Oryctolagus cuniculus: one gene and its partner. The protein of the gene in region 2 binds, or shares a complex with, the protein of the main gene of each other region. Links are inferred from orthologs where the notes say so. Each region holds a gene or a part of one and is shown on either strand. Other genes may lie near its edges.

The links. The genes of interacting proteins can lie anywhere in the genome.
Region 1: the proteins of RAB8A (region 2) and RILPL2 are in contact, whole or in part, in a crystal structure (PDB 6SQ2), measured with the Homo sapiens proteins. The link is inferred for Oryctolagus cuniculus from reciprocal best matches to the Homo sapiens genes RAB8A and RILPL2. Residues at the interface, in NP_005361.2 of Homo sapiens: Ile41, Gly42, Ile43, Asp44, Phe45, Lys46, Ile47, Lys58, Trp62, Phe70, Ile73, Tyr77; in NP_659495.1 of Homo sapiens: Leu135, Leu138, Arg139, Leu142, Gln143, Arg145, Asn146, Lys149, Ser150, Leu153, Glu157.

The regions. Positions count from the first base shown.
Region 1 is NC_091452.1:5,916,603-5,924,034, forward strand, and holds the start of RILPL2 (RILP-like protein 2), read left to right. Parts: upstream 1-3,469; 5' UTR 3,470-3,578; coding exon 3,579-3,905; intron 3,906-7,432. UniProt on the Homo sapiens protein: Involved in cell shape and neuronal morphogenesis, positively regulating the establishment and maintenance of dendritic spines. Plays a role in cellular protein transport, including protein transport away from primary cilia.
Region 2 is NC_091447.1:64,694,835-64,702,118, reverse strand, and holds the start of RAB8A (ras-related protein Rab-8A), read right to left. Parts: upstream 4,202-7,284; 5' UTR 4,154-4,201; coding exon 4,030-4,153; intron 645-4,029; coding exon 584-644; intron 1-583. UniProt on the Homo sapiens protein: The small GTPases Rab are key regulators of intracellular membrane trafficking, from the formation of transport vesicles to their fusion with membranes.

The DNA of each region.
Region 1 (7,432 bases), on a different chromosome or scaffold from region 2:
AAAGAAGCTCCAGGATCCTGGCTTCGGATCATTACAGCTTCAGCCATTGTGGCCAACAGAGGAGTGAACCAGATGGAAGGCCTCACTTTCTCTCTGCCTCTCCTTCTCTCTCTGTGTAACTCTGACTTTCAAATAAATCAAAATCAAAAAAAAAAAAAAAAAAGTTGGAATCGATGCTGTGGTGTAGTAGGCTAAGCCTCCACCTTCCACCTGCAGTGCCGGCATCCCATACAGGCACCGGATCACGTCCTGGCTTCTCCACTTCCAGTCCAGCTCTCTGCTGTGGCCTGGGAAAGCAGTGGAGGATGGCCCAAGCCCTTGGGCCCCTGCACCTGTGTAGGAGACCCAGAAGAAGCTCCTGGCTTCAGATTAGCTCAGCTCTGGCCATTGTGGCCATTCAGGGAGTGAACCAGCAGATATAAGACCTTCTCTCTCTCTCTCTCTCTCTCTCTCTCTCTCTCTCTCTCTGTAACTGCCTCTCAAATAAATAAATAAATAAATAAAACCTTTTTTTAAGTTTTGGCATGAGGATGTTGACATCCACACTGAACTTTTTCTCGTGATGCACATTTTCCGTGAACTTCTGGAAGCCCCCCCGCATGGTGCTTGTGACTGCCTCATTTCCCGTAACAGCGCCTTCAAGGTCTGTCCCCCCTGGAGCCCACGTCAGAGTCCCCTGCCTTTGCAAGGCTGAGTCATATTCCTGTCATGGGAAGGCCACATTCTGTGTTTCCACCTGTCATCAGTGGCCACGTGATGCCTCCACCTCTCAGTGTTATGCATGGTGCTGCTGTGAGCACAGGCGTGCACGTATCCGCTTGAGAGATGTCTCCAGTCCTCCTGGTTCCATACCCAGAAGTGGTGTTGCCGGGTCTTGCTGTAATTCTGTTTGCACATTTTGAAGAACCTCTGTGCTGTTTTTGCCGCAGTCCCACCATGTCACGTCCCATGCAGCAGTGCATAAGGGTCCAGAGTGTGCACATCCTAACGCGTGTTTTCTTTTCATTTTCAGCCTATTTATTCGAGAGGTAGACAATGACAGACACTCCCCAAATACCACAAAGGAAGCCAGAGTCAGGAACACAACCCGGTGTCCCGCATGGGCGGCAGGCATCAGGAGCTGGAGCTGGGAACAGAACCCCAGGCCCTCCAGTGTGACACAGGACCGCAGTCCCAACCAGACACTGGCTCCTACCATAGCATCCAAATGGGCACGAGGTGGTGTGTCATACCGATTTTTTAAAAAGATTTATTTATCTGAAAGGCAGAGTTACATACAGAGAGAAGGAGAGGAGGAGGAGGAGGAGGAGGAGGAGGAGGAGAGAGAGAGAGAGAGAGGTCTTCCATCCGCTGGTTCACTTCCCAATTGGCTGTCACAGCCAGAGCTGCGCTGATCCGGAGCCAGGAGCCAGGAGCCTCCTCTGGGTCTCCCACATGGGTGCAGGGGCCCAAGGACTTGGGCCATCTTCCACTGCTTTCCCAGGCCATAGCAGAGAGCTGGATCGGAAGTGGAGCAGCCAAGACTAGAACCAGCGTCCGTATGGGATGCCAGCACTATAGGCGATGGCTTTACCCACTACGCCATAGCGCTGGCACCTCCTCATATCAGTTTTGATTTGTGTTTGCCCAATGATGAGAGGTGTTGAGCATCTTTTCTTATGCTTGTTAGCCATTTGTACATCTTTGGTGAAATTTCTACCTAAGCCCTTTGTCCATTTTTAATAGGATTATTTGCAATGTGTTGTTGAGTTGTAGTTCTTTATGCTATGTTTATGTCAGATACAATTTGCAATATTTTATCCTATCCCACAGGTTGATTTTAAAGTATATTTCTTTGAAAGGCAGAGTAAGAGAGAGAGAGATTATGATGTACTGGCTAACTCCCCAGATATCTGGCTGGGCCAGGATTCAGGAATTCATCCGGTTTCCTAGTGGTTAGCAGGGACCCAAGCTGTTTAGTCACTTCCTGCTGCCTCTCGGGGTGCGCATCAGCAGGAAGCCAGAATCCGGAGCCGGGGCTTGAACTCGGGCACCCAGGTGCAGGGTGCAGGCGCCCCACCCAGCGCCCCAACCACCTGGATCTACTCTTCTTTCGCTGCCTGTGCTTTCGGAGTCAATCCCTGGACTCGCTGTCGAATCTCACATCACAAAGCGTCTCCCCGAGGTCTTCTTAGTTCTTACATCCTGATCTGATTCATTTTAAGTTTTGTTTTGTTTGTATAAGGTGAGGGTCAACTCCATTCTTTTGCATGTGGACCTCCAGTGTTCCCGGGATCATTTACTGAAAATACATCCCTCGCTGAGTGGTCTTGGTGCCCTTACTGAATGCCATTTGACGGCGTGCGCGTGTGTGGGGGGTTGGATTTAATTCCTTCCTTCCTTTGGATGGCTGGGTCACGGTCCACTGATGGACACACACTGACCTAGGGTGACACTCACACTCAGCTGGGTCACGGTCCGCTGATGGACACACACTGACCTGGGGTGACACTCACACCTGGCTGGGTCACGGTCCACTGATGGACACACACTGACCTAGGGTGAGTCTTGCACTTTATCTCAGTGCTGTCTGCCCTGAAAGCTATGTGTTTGGTTCGTCCACGTTGCTTTTGGTTTTGTTTAATCCTTGGACCATCTCCACTGCGCCCCCAGAACCTGTCCTTGGACCATCTCCACTGCGCCCCCAGAACCTGTCCTTGGACCATCTCCACTGCGCCCCCAGAACCTGGGTGTGGAGAAAACCCCGTGCGCCTCCCAGGAAGGAAGCGGGGACAGACGCGCCCCGGGGCTGAGCTTTCTGCCTACGACAAACTCCAGTCGCACCTGAAGAACCCGGGTTCTGCCAGCCACGCCGCCTCTGCTTCCTCCTCTGCGGCGCACACCCGCAGCCCCCCAGGCTGGAGGAAGCAAACGATGAAGGCTCGGGTCGGCGCCGGCTGCTTCTAAGTGCTTGGCAGACCACACGCACGATCCGGTCACCTCCCAGGTTCCTCGCTGCCCCCATTCTACAGAGCCGTACACTGAGGCCCGGGGGCTCGCCACGGTCACGGCGTGAGATACGTGGGGGAACCCGGCCCACGGCGGCCGCACCCCGGGGCTGCTGACCCTGGCCGGGGCTCCCAAGCCCGGGAGCTTCGCGCACCCCCATCCTTGCGCTCAGAAAATAGCCCTGCACCAGAAACCCGGACCTGTAGTCGCGGGGCAGCAAACCGCACGGCTGGAAAGCCTGCGCGCGCAAGAGGGCGTGGAAACTCCGCCCGCGTCGCCGTGGAAACGCGGCTTCCCCGCACCGCGCGCGGCTCGCGGGGCGGGGGCGGGGGCGGCCGCCGTAGTCCGCGCTCGGCTCCCCGCCGCGCCCGCGTCCCGCGCGCTCCGGACCGCGCCGTGGGGCGCACGCCGCCGCGCGCCCAGCGTCCGGCCCGAGCGGCGCCCCGCGCGGACCCACCCCCGGGCCGCGCCGATTGGCGGGCAGGGTCTCCGCCCCGCGGAAAGTTTTCGGTGCCTGGAGGAAGTCGGAGTCTGGCAGGCGAGCGGAGCGCAGCGCCGGAGGCCGCGGGGGTCCGGGCGGGCGGACGGCCATGGAGGAGCCCCCAGTGCGCGACGAGGAAGAGGAGGACGGCGAGGGGGACGAGGCCGGGCCCGAGGGGGCGCTGGGGAAGAGCCCCTCGCAGCTGACCGCGGAGGACGTGTACGACATCTCCTACGTGGTGGGCCGCGAGCTGATGGCCCTGGGCAGCGACCCCCGGGTGACGCAGTTGCAGTTCAAAATCGTGCGCGTCCTGGAGTTGCTGGAGGCGCTGGTGAGCGAGGGCAATCTGACGGCGGAGGCGCTGCGCCTGGAGCGGGACAGCCTGCGGGCGGAGGTGGCCGGGCTGCGCCGGGAGCTGCCCCCGGCTCGCGGGGAGGTGAGTGGGCCGGGGGTTGCGCGGGGTGGGGTGGGGTGGGGTGGGGCGCTCCTTTTCCTTCCTGGCCAGAGACCCCCAGAAGCGTCCCCCGCCGGTGGTCGGGCCACCCAGAACAGACTGAGCGTCCCAGGTCGGGGGTCCGAGGTCCGCGCAGCCTGCAAGTCCGGGGGATGCGGACACATTGCACGCTGAGAACCTTTGACCTGGAGACCTTCGCGTGCCCGTGGCCACAGAGCAGGTGTGTAGGGTGCGTGTGTGCGCGTGCACACACCTGCAGCGGAGTGCTGCAGGCAACGAAACACAAGGGGAGCCCTGAGGGTGCGGGCTTGCGGGTAAGCCGCCGCGGGCCCTCCCTCCGGTGCCTGCGTTCGGTTCCCAGCTCCCCCAGTTCCTGCAGACCCGGGAGGCAGTGGTGATGGCTCCTGCCGCCCGCTTGGGAGTCCTGGATTCAGTTTCTGGGCCAGCCCTGGGTGTCTGAGGGATTTAGGAAGGTGTTCGCTCTCGCCCATACATGTTTTGATTTTTCTTAAGAAAAGAAGGGAGTACGGGTGCGGTATGGGGGGATCTCCCGGATGTTACATTGACATACAGAAGCCAGGCACAAAGGAGAAACTACCCATACATTCATAGAAAATTTCAGAGCCGGCAAAATAATCTTTAGAGAAGGGGGGAGGGGAAGGAGCAAGCGGGCACTTGATGGACAGCTAGAAACTTCCGTATCTGCAGATGTGGTTGTACTGGTGTATGAAGTGTGTCAAGAGCCAGCAAGCTGGGGCCGGTGGGCGACGTGTAGTGGGGCGACGCCCACACCCCATATGGGTGCCTGTCCCAGTCCTGGCTGCTCCACTTCCTTTTTAAAAATAAATAAATAAATAAGGACTTGTTTATTTGAAAGGTAGAGTTACAGACAAAATGAAAGTGAGATGGAGAGAGAGGTCTTGCACCCGCTGGCTCAGCCCCCCAAATGGCTGTGCCAGGCCAATGCCAGGAGCTTCTTTCAGGTCTCCCACACAGGTGCGGGGACCCAAGCACTTGGGCCATCTTCACTGCTTTCCCAGGCCACAGCAGAGAGCTGGATTGGAAGTGGAGCAGCCGGGACTAGAACCGGTGCCCTATGGGATGCCAGCACTGCAGGTAGAGGCTTTACCCCCTATGCCACAGTGCCGGCCCCAGTTTTGTTTTTTGTTTTTTTAAAGATTTATTTATTTGGCCAGCCCTGTGGCTCAATAGGCTAATCCTCCATCTGCAGTGCCGGCACACCGGGTTCCGGTCCCGGTCGGGGCGCTGGATTCTGTCCCGGTCGCTCCTCTTCCAGGCCAGCTCTCTGCTGTGGCCAGGGAGTGCAGTGGAGGATGGCCCAGGTGCTTGGGCCCTGCACCCGCATGGGACCAGGAGAGGCACCTGGCTCCTGGCTTCAGATCAGCGTGGTGTGCAGGCCTCAGCGGTCATTGAGGGGTGAACCAACAAAAAACAAAGACCTTTCTCTCTGTCTCTCTCTCTCACTGTCCACTCTGCCTTTCAAAAAAAAAAAAAAAAAGATTTATTTATTTGAAAGCCAGAATTCCAGAGAGAAAGAGAGAGAGAGAGATCTTTCATCCACTGGTTCACTCCACAAACGCTCACAGCTGCGGGGCCGGCCCAAGCACTCACCCATCTTTGCTTCCCGGGCTCATCAGCAGAGAGCTGCATCGGAAGCAGAGCAGCCAGGACTGCAGCAGGCTGTTGTGGTTTTTCTTCTGAATTGTAACACCTTGTGAGTTTCACTGATCTCTTAGTCACAGGTGGGGATTCTGAGCAGCTCCCGGACGTGGACTGTGTCGCTTCAACCCACCCCATTGCTGAACTCACTGTGCTTTGGTGACTGTTAATTTGCATGAGGACTTACTGCTGGGAAAACGGGGGTCAGGGTGTGAACTCAGATTCTGCCTTCACTGCTCCGTGACATTGGGCCCTGTCTGTTGTGCTGGTGTTTGGTGAGGGAGCTGCCGTAGGCCAGGCACGGGGCATGCAGGTGAGCTGGACAAGGCCACTACCCTCGTGGACTGCCACCCAGCAGGAGAGGTGCAGACCCAGCAGTGGGCGTGAGAGGCGGCAGAGAACAGGAGTGGGGTCCCTGAGTGTCCCAGGGGAGCGTGGGCGTCCTCAGGGGCTGCCCCGAGTCAGGCCGACACTGGTACTCGTGGGTGGGCCTCTGCTGCGGCATCTGTCCTGTGGGGTGCCCGAGGCTCATGGCTAGCAGCCTGGCTTTGCAGAGGCCACAGAAGTTGAATGCTTGTCCAGGAAGGTGCGGCTGCGTCCAGCGCCACCCTCGCCCCGGTGCCCTGGCAGGAGGAGGTGGAGGCAGCCCTTGGGGCCGGGTCGCCAGGTCATTTCCTGTGTGGTCTGCCCGGGGCCTGGTCATTTCCCGTGCGTGGCGACTGTGGGAGGCAGCGGATGAGGTGGCACATTTTCTCCCCAAACCGCGGTCTGAAGACAGCACGAGTTAAAGAGAAGGAAGGTCAGTGCCACTGACAGTGAACACACACCTCGTTCTCTGTTGCGCTCTCTTTTCTGGCTGTGGTAAAATGCATCTCATATGAGCTTCGCCATCTCAGCCGCTGGTGTGTGCACAGTTCAGCAGTCTTCCATCCACTGGTTCACTCCCCAAATGGCCAGAACAGCCAGCTCTGGGCCAGGCAGAAGCCAGGAGCCAGGAGCTTCTTCCTGGTCTCCCACATGGGTGCAAGGGCCTAAGGACTTGGGCCATCTTCCTCTGCTTTCCCAGGCACATTAGCAGGGAGCCTGGACTCGAACCGGCGCCCATGTGGAATGCAGGGGCCACAGGCCCAGGACATTCTCGTTGTGTTGTGCTGGGATCACTACCATCATCCCCAGAACCTTTACTTCTCTTAAAACTGAAACTGTAGCCATTGAATAGCAACTCCCAGCTTCTGCGCCTCCCGCAGCCCCTCCAGCCTCTATATTTTACTTTCTTCTTTTAATCAACCACCATTGCTTCACCACACATTCTACTGAGATACAAAGCTGAATTTTTAAAATCATACCACACGAAGGTGTTCAGCTCTTTCCCGCCAGTCGACTCACCACCTCAGTGGCGTACACACAGAAGGGAAGCACCCACTGCACCTTCATTGTGTGTCCCCCAGTCAGGTTCACAGCTGCTTTGGCGTGGAGACAAAATCCACACAAGGGTAAAATCCATCGATACAGCGGAGTCTGCATCTGGGCGTCTCAGAGTGAGGCTGGCCGGCAGCCGTCCCAGGGCATTCTGAAAGCAGGTGCACACAGCTGAGCTCTGCCTTTCTTTTTTCAAAGAGAGGGAGAGAACGAAAGGTCTTCCATCCACTGGTTCACATCCCAAGTGGCCACGGTGGCCTGGGCTGGGCGGGCCTGATGCCAGGAGCCAGGAACTCCATCCTTGGCAGAAACCCAAGCTCCTGGGCCGTCCTCTGCTGCCTTCTCAGGCGCATTAGCAGGGAGCTGGATCGGAAACGGATTCTCCGTCCTCGGGGTGGCGTCTTAACCCA
Region 2 (7,284 bases):
GAGCTGATGGACTCCAAAGGAAAGGTGCAGTCAGGGCGGCTCCGCACCCGGGCACAGACCTGGACTTTGTCCGCATCAGAGTGCTGGGCCTGGCTTGGAATCCCAGCTCTGGCTCCTGACTCCAGCTCCCTGCTCATGCAGGGCCCCTGTGAGGTAGCAGATGATGGCCTGGGTCCCTGCCACCCATGTGGGAGACCTTGGATGGAGTTCCTGGCTCCCAGCTTCAGCTCTGGCATCTGGGGAGTGAACCCACAGACGGGAGTTCTGTCTGTCTCTTGTCTCTCAAATTAATCTCAAAAAAAAAACACAAAAAAACAAAAAACAACACAGAAGGTTGAGCTAAGCGGGCCTGGGGTGATGTCCCCAACAGGTGTGGACACAGTCCCCCGGGCCACAGCAGCAGCGCACAGGTCCCTGATGGGGAGAGCACTTGAGAGTTTTTGAAGACAGCCTGAAGGCAGCCCTGGGCACCAAGAGATGAAGGCCAAGGTCACGGGGTGTGGGGGTGGGGAGGGGCAGGCACCAAGGGCTCCTGGCTCCAAGCGCTCGCCGGGTTCAGAGGCTGCCCCAGGGCACCACTTACCATATCTGTAGTTTAATTCTTTTGCCATCGAGTTCTATGGTCCTAATTTTAAAGTCGATTCCTGAAATAGAAAAGAATAAAAGAAGACCCATCACGGTCAGCCCATTGTCCCGGGTGCTGTCTGGGGGCGGGGTCAGCCAACCTATGTTTCTGGGGGAACGGTCACCTGCCTCCGCTTGGGGGTTCACCTGCCTGCTGTTGGGGATGTGTGCCCTCTGCCTCCTCCCCAGCAAGTCTGGAAGCATCTGGAGACTCTCCCCTTTCACAGAACGGGGCGCCTGAGGCTCTCAGAGCCGACGGGAGCTGCCCAGAGTGACAGATGGTGGGCACACCCAGGAGCTCAGGCTGCCAACGTCTTTGGTCTCCTCCCTTGCCAATGCCGCCAGCCGTGCCTGTCTCCCTGTCCCACACGGCCCTGCACGGTGCTCCATCACACACCCCGAGGCACCCAGGCCATGTCCTTTCTTGCCCCAGGGCCTTTGCACATGCCAGTCCCTCTCTGCCCATCAGCTGTGCTAATTTCTCCTCCCCCGGGGTCACTTCCCAAGACACTGTCCTGACCTTACCTCCTCCTCCTTCCCCACCTCCTGCTTCATTCTCCTTTGCCAAGGGTGCCTTTGCGGGGCCCTCAGAGCCGGCACCCCAGTGCTCTCCTAACCAGGTCACCAAGCAAACCTCTGCTCCAGACCTTTCTGTGGGTCCACCGGCCGGTGACTGGACCAACCCAAAGTGGAATACTGCCCAGCCACAAAAAGGAACAAAGTGCCCACACTCGCTGCAGCAGGGATGCACCCTGGAAGCCATGATGCTGAGCGAGAGAAACTGCACGCACCAGGCCACACCTCTTCTACCTTGTGACAGAAATGTCCACAACAGCAAGCCCACAGACACCGGGCGTGTGTTCGGGGTTGCCGGGGGCTGGGGAGAGTGGGAGACTGGGGATTGGCGGAGGAGGGTGGGGGTTTCTTCCAGCATGACCAAAATGCAAAACGGATTGTGGTGAGTGCAGAAAAGCACCCCTGAATTGTACCTGGTTGGTGGGTGACACCGTACGGTACCCCATTATCTCACTGAAGCTGTTACAAAGGGGCTGGTGCCGGCATCCCGGATGAGCGCCGGTTCAAGGCCCAGCTACTGCGCGCTTCCGATCCAAACACCCTGTGGATGCGCCTGGGAAGGCAGCAGCCAAAGACGGCTCAAGTGCCTGGGGCCCCTGCCACCCACATGGGAGACCCGGATGGAGCTCCAGGTTCGTGGCTGCAAACCCAAGCGTGCACTCGAACTCTGCCCATTAGCAACTTTGCCAAGGCAATGGGCTGCACGCAGCTTCCTTGCTGCTGTCACAGGGACAAAACGCCCAGCCTCGTGCCGTCGCTACCTCCCCTCCTGATGCACCCGAGCCGGCTCTGAAGCCCTGGCTCCAGTGCTGATGCCCAGATGTCCGTGGAAGGCGGCTGGCATGCCACAGAGCCACAGGGTGTAGGTGGCCGCGCGTGGTGAGGGAGGCACTTGCACAAACATCATCCGTCTCGCAGAAGGCACGGAGCGGGGTCCCCGAGGAGATGGCGGGGACGGAGCCAGGCTGGTAGAGAATGGATCGCAGGGAGCCGCAGGGCCAAGTTCACACCACAGATGATGGATGGAGCTCCTAAGAATGGGCCTTGGCAAGACGTAACCCCAGGGAAGCAAATGAACAGCCATTCAATCCCCGATCTATTAAGAAAACCCAGAGGGGCACTCGATACCAATATCCAAGGGCTCTGTGCCTGAGTTCTGTCTCAGGGATAAAGCAGTCGGGCGCGGATCCTTTGCACCTCCTGTCACTGGGCTGCACAAACTCAAGATGCACTGCTCAGTCGCCTGAGCCCTAGAGCAGCCCTCTGTCCTGCACTCCTCCTGGGTTCTAGGAACACGCGAGGTTCAATTAGCAAGCGCACACTTTACGAGGCCCGTTAACTCCAAGGTCATGGTTGAGCAAAGCCTAGAAGCCAGAGCCCCGTTAAGGCGGCTTCAAATGTAACAGGAAGAAGACTGGTGTGGCAGGACAGGACAGGACCCTGGCTCCCGTGCCACCTCCCGCCACGCGAGGCGACTCCAGGAACCAATCGGTCTCCCCCAGATTGTCGCTCTGGGCCACGGGCGGCCGTTCATTCATTGTATGGAGTTCTAATCTGAAGACACGGGGCTCAGAGAGGGGTAGTGCTTGTTCCAGGGCAAAGAGCAACAGGAAAGCAGGCATGGTGACCTCCAGCATGGTGGAGTTCCGGGTGATAATGAGATGTGGCTCAAGTGACATGGTGGTGGTGGCAGTGGTGGGGTGGGGTGGGGTGGGGGGAAGCCATTCCCTAAGTTTCCTCAGTCTGGGGTCAACCCCTGGACTGGGTGACTGTCCCCTCTGCTTCCTGAACAGGGCTACCTAGCTCGCAGGCCACTGTGGGACGGCTGTGCCTCCCGGGTCCAGCCTTGTCATCGTGGGCAGGGGCTGGCTTTTGTGGCACGGTGATGAGAAGTCAGCAGGGCCGACAGAAAAAGACAAGTGGATTCCGCTCAGCCGCCACGTGGGGTGGCCCAGCCGGAAGCGCTGTTCCCTCAGTGGGACAACCACGGAGTCCTGGGCCCTGTGATAGGGAGTGGGGTGCTGTCTGTGGCTTCTCACGGAGCCTTGTATCTTGCATCTCCTTGGGGGAGGGGATGACAGGTCCCTGGGCGGGCAGCTGTCACTCACTGGGGCTGTCACCCTTGAGTGGGATAGAGGGCGGGGCAGGGTAAATGCTCCTCACTCTCCCTCACGATTCCAGGGCCAGGGAGGAGGCTCAGTCCTTAAAGTCCAGTCCCAGGGGAAAAAGCAGGAGAGAGAGGTGGGGGTCGGAGTGTTGCTCCCAAGTGGCTCCTCTGGGCTGTCAAGACGCATCGAGGTTCAAGTCTCATCCGTGCCATTTATTCTGCAGGTTGTGTGACCTTGGACAAGTCCCCCGGCCACCCTGAGCCTCAAATCCCGCATCCGCGAAATGGGTTCGTGACAAACACCTTAACTTGCAGCCCCAGGAGGGCGCGATCACGCAGCTGGCAGAGCGCAAGTGCCCCAGCATCCACTTCTGTACGACCGACCCCTCCCACAACGCCCACAGATGAACTTGGCTTGGCAAGGGGCTGCGAGGACGGCACGAGAGGATGGGCGCCAAAACCCCAGCCCCGGACCGACACTCCCGACGGAGCGGGCTGAGAGGCGGGAGCCTCAGTCTACCCACTCGCCAAACAGGCACTGGTCCCCAGCACCACCACGGCCCGGGAACCCGCGAAGCGCGGCGGAGCCAGCTGCTCGGCTCCCTTCAGACCCCCTGAGAGCCCGCTGCCCCTCGGCCAGGGTCGATGCCTCAGCCCCAGCCCCTCAGGGGCGCGCCCGGCCCGGGCCTCCGGCGCCCCCGGCCGCTCCCCAGCCCCGCTACCTATGGTGGAGATGAAAGTGGAGTTGAAGGCGTCCTCGGAGAAGCGGAACAGGACACAGGTCTTCCCCACCCCCGAGTCCCCGATCAGCAGCAGCTTGAACAGGTAATCGTAGGTCTTCGCCATATTACACTCTCTCCTCGACGGGAAGTGCGGCCAGCGCCTCGCCACTGGCCGCTGGACCCGTCCATCAGCTCCGAGCCCGCCCCTCATTGGCTCCCGGCCCGCCGCGCGTCACCGCGGCCGACGCCCGCCCCCGAGCCCCGCCCGTCGCGGGGAGACCTGAGGAAGGGGCGAGCGGAGCGCGGAGCCGGAAGCAGCTCGAGCGCGCCTCCCATTGGTCGGCGCTCGGGACAGGGCGGGCTGGGATTGGCCAGCGATGAAGAGTAGAGGGGCTTCAAACAGGGACCGGGGCGGGGGTGTGGCATCCCATGTCCCCGCCTCCCCCCCCCGCCTCGGGCTCTGGGGAGGCCCCGCCCCGCCCTCTGAGGGGAAGGGGCGAGTCGGGAGCGGGGCCAACGGCTTCGCGCGCCGGCAGCCCAGGGGCGGGGCCTGGTGGATAGGCGCACGCGCACTTGAAAGATCGTTGGTCGCCGGCAGAGGGCGCACGCACGTGGAGGAGCCCCTGGGGCCCGCCCTGACGGCTCGCGCAGCCGCAGTAGGCGCCAAGGCGAGCGCGGGAAGGCTGGGTAGCCAGGCAACGCCAAGTGGAGTTTTCCGCGTCCTGCCCGTCAGTGGGAGCCAAAGAGGAAACAGAGAGAGCCGGGAGCTCATCGAGACAGAAATGCAACCCCTCGAGACGGGCTGCGGGCTCTCGGCCAAGAGAAATATCCAGGCCTCGGCGACCTGAGCGGCTTTCCCGCCGCCAGCTGCGCCCTGAGGAGAAATTGGGACGCCTCAAGCGAGACCCGCCCTCGGACCTAATTAGAGGCTGTCCCGGCCACCTTCAGCTTCTAGTGTCCATCCCCCCAGCCTCGTCAGCCTCACACCCAGCCGGCTGTCTGAGGCGGTCAAGTCACCCGCCCGGGGACTCAGGGCGGCGGCAATTCTAGGTCACGTTAAGGAGCGTTGCGTCTGTGCCTGGCGGTGGTAACCAACACTTAAAAAAAAAAAAGTTTGGGGCTGCTCCACTTCTGAGCCACTTCCCTGCTCATGTGCCCCGGAGGGCGGCCAAAGATGGCCCAGGTGCTTGGGCCCCTGCCACCCACGTGGGAGGAGCCAAGCTCCCGGCTTTGGCTTGACCTAACCAGAGCTATCCGCGGATGGAAGATATCTCTCCCTTTCTGTAACTCTCCCTTTCAAATAAATAAATCTTTTTTTAAAAAAAGTTTTATGATAGTTTTGTATTTTTTTTTCTTATGGTGGGAAAACAGGCCCACAGGAGGTTGACTTTCCCAGGCTCTCAAGTGGGAAGTTAGTTTTTGAATTCAAACCACCAAGCATCAGAGAACCAAAGTTGGAACCACTGGGGTTTGTGCCTCTCAGCGATGGTCCAGTCTCTTGTAGGTCACACTGAGGGCATCAGAGAGGCCTGGAGGCTTGCCTAAGGCTCTCTGGAAGATGGCCCTGGCCTCTCCTCCACCCTTCCTAGGCTCATTCTTTTCGCTGACCTCACTCAGGGTTAAGAAAACTTCAGTCAGAGCCACTGACCACTTCATAAGCCTCAGCCTCTGAGGTATTTGACAACTCAACCACTAACTGTGGAAGTGATTTTTTCTTGGTTCTCTCCCTGATTTTATTTCTATTGTGTCTGCTTCCCCATTTCTGGGTGCTGCTTCTTTGGAAGATTTCTATTTGTGCCTTAGATGTTTATGTTCCTCGTGGTTCTGTCTCTGGTCTCAATTTCTGGGTGATCTCATTCAGTCCGGTGGCTTCTAATACCTCCACACTGACGAGTCTCATTTCTTAAGCCATAGCTCACCATCCCTCCATGTCCAACTAGTTTCTTGACATCTACCTTTGGATTTGCCAAAGATAACTTCACACTCACTATGTCCACAATTAATCTCATCTCACATTCACTTACCTGGAGTTACCTTTTGACTCATCTCTCACATCCTGATTTTTCAAGAGTCTTGCTCTTCCACTGCCACAGTCAGGTTGCCACTGGTCTCCCTGGCCATTTTCCCTAGCCTAGATTCCACCCTGCAGTGTGCTCACTCTAACTCACTTAACTAATATTGATCTCAATAAAGATAAAGTCCAAAATCTATACTTTTGAGTATGATACCTCTCACTACCTTGTCCTATTCTCACCCTGTGTTCCACACACACTTTATGGGACTGGGAACTCCCCAAGAGCTGGGACAAGTCAGTTTAACAAACATGGAACATTCATGTTAAGTGCTGAGGTACAAGGATGACTAAAACAGTATCCAGAGACTAGACTACACCCAAAGTGGGTGCAGAGGAGGGGGAAGAGAGAAGTAAAAGAGGAACTTCAATCTAGAAATGGTAGGGCTCACACTGGAGGGAGTTACACTGCCATCGACATTGCTCCCACCTTCCACCTAAGCTGTCAACTACTGCTTAATTAACATGAAGGACATGTTTTAATTGTACTTGAGCGCAAAAAGCTTGTTTCCATATCACATTAATTTTTAAAAAGGTTTTCATACCTCTTTTTGATTTTTCTGCCTCCCTTTCTGGATTGGATCTTTTATCCAGATTATCAAAGCAATTCAGGTAGTGAAACTAGTCAGCTTTGACACTCTCATCTCTCAGATCCCTGCCATCAAGTCGGCTACATTTTAAGATTGCTTCCTTCTGATCACTTCTTCCCTCTTACTGCATGGCAACCACTCTGTGTACTGAAACATCTTCCTGACACCTTCCTGTCTGTACAGGCCACCACCTGAAAATAGGTGCTAAGTGCATTTTCCTAATGTCTTGATGTGTTTACTTCAGTTTGGGTCTCTACTCCTCAGTAAGTTAAATTCTAGCTCTTATCAATTTTGGATCCAGCCAACCGTCCAGCTTTTCTACCTAGGGTACAACACATAGAAAACCTTGTCCGGGCAGGCCTTGCACTTTCCTAAGTCAAACAGTGAGCCCATCTCGCCTGTCTTCACCATCTATTAAAATCCTACTCATTCTTCACAGCCCTGCTCAGACAGGATTGCGGATAACAAAGGACAAGAGCTTTTGAGTTGCTGAGGCCAGGTGTTCTCATGTGCAACAGGGAGATCATTCATTCTTCTATCATGAAGTCATGGTACAAAGTAAATAAATAACATCTGCAAAGTTCTTGGCCCAGT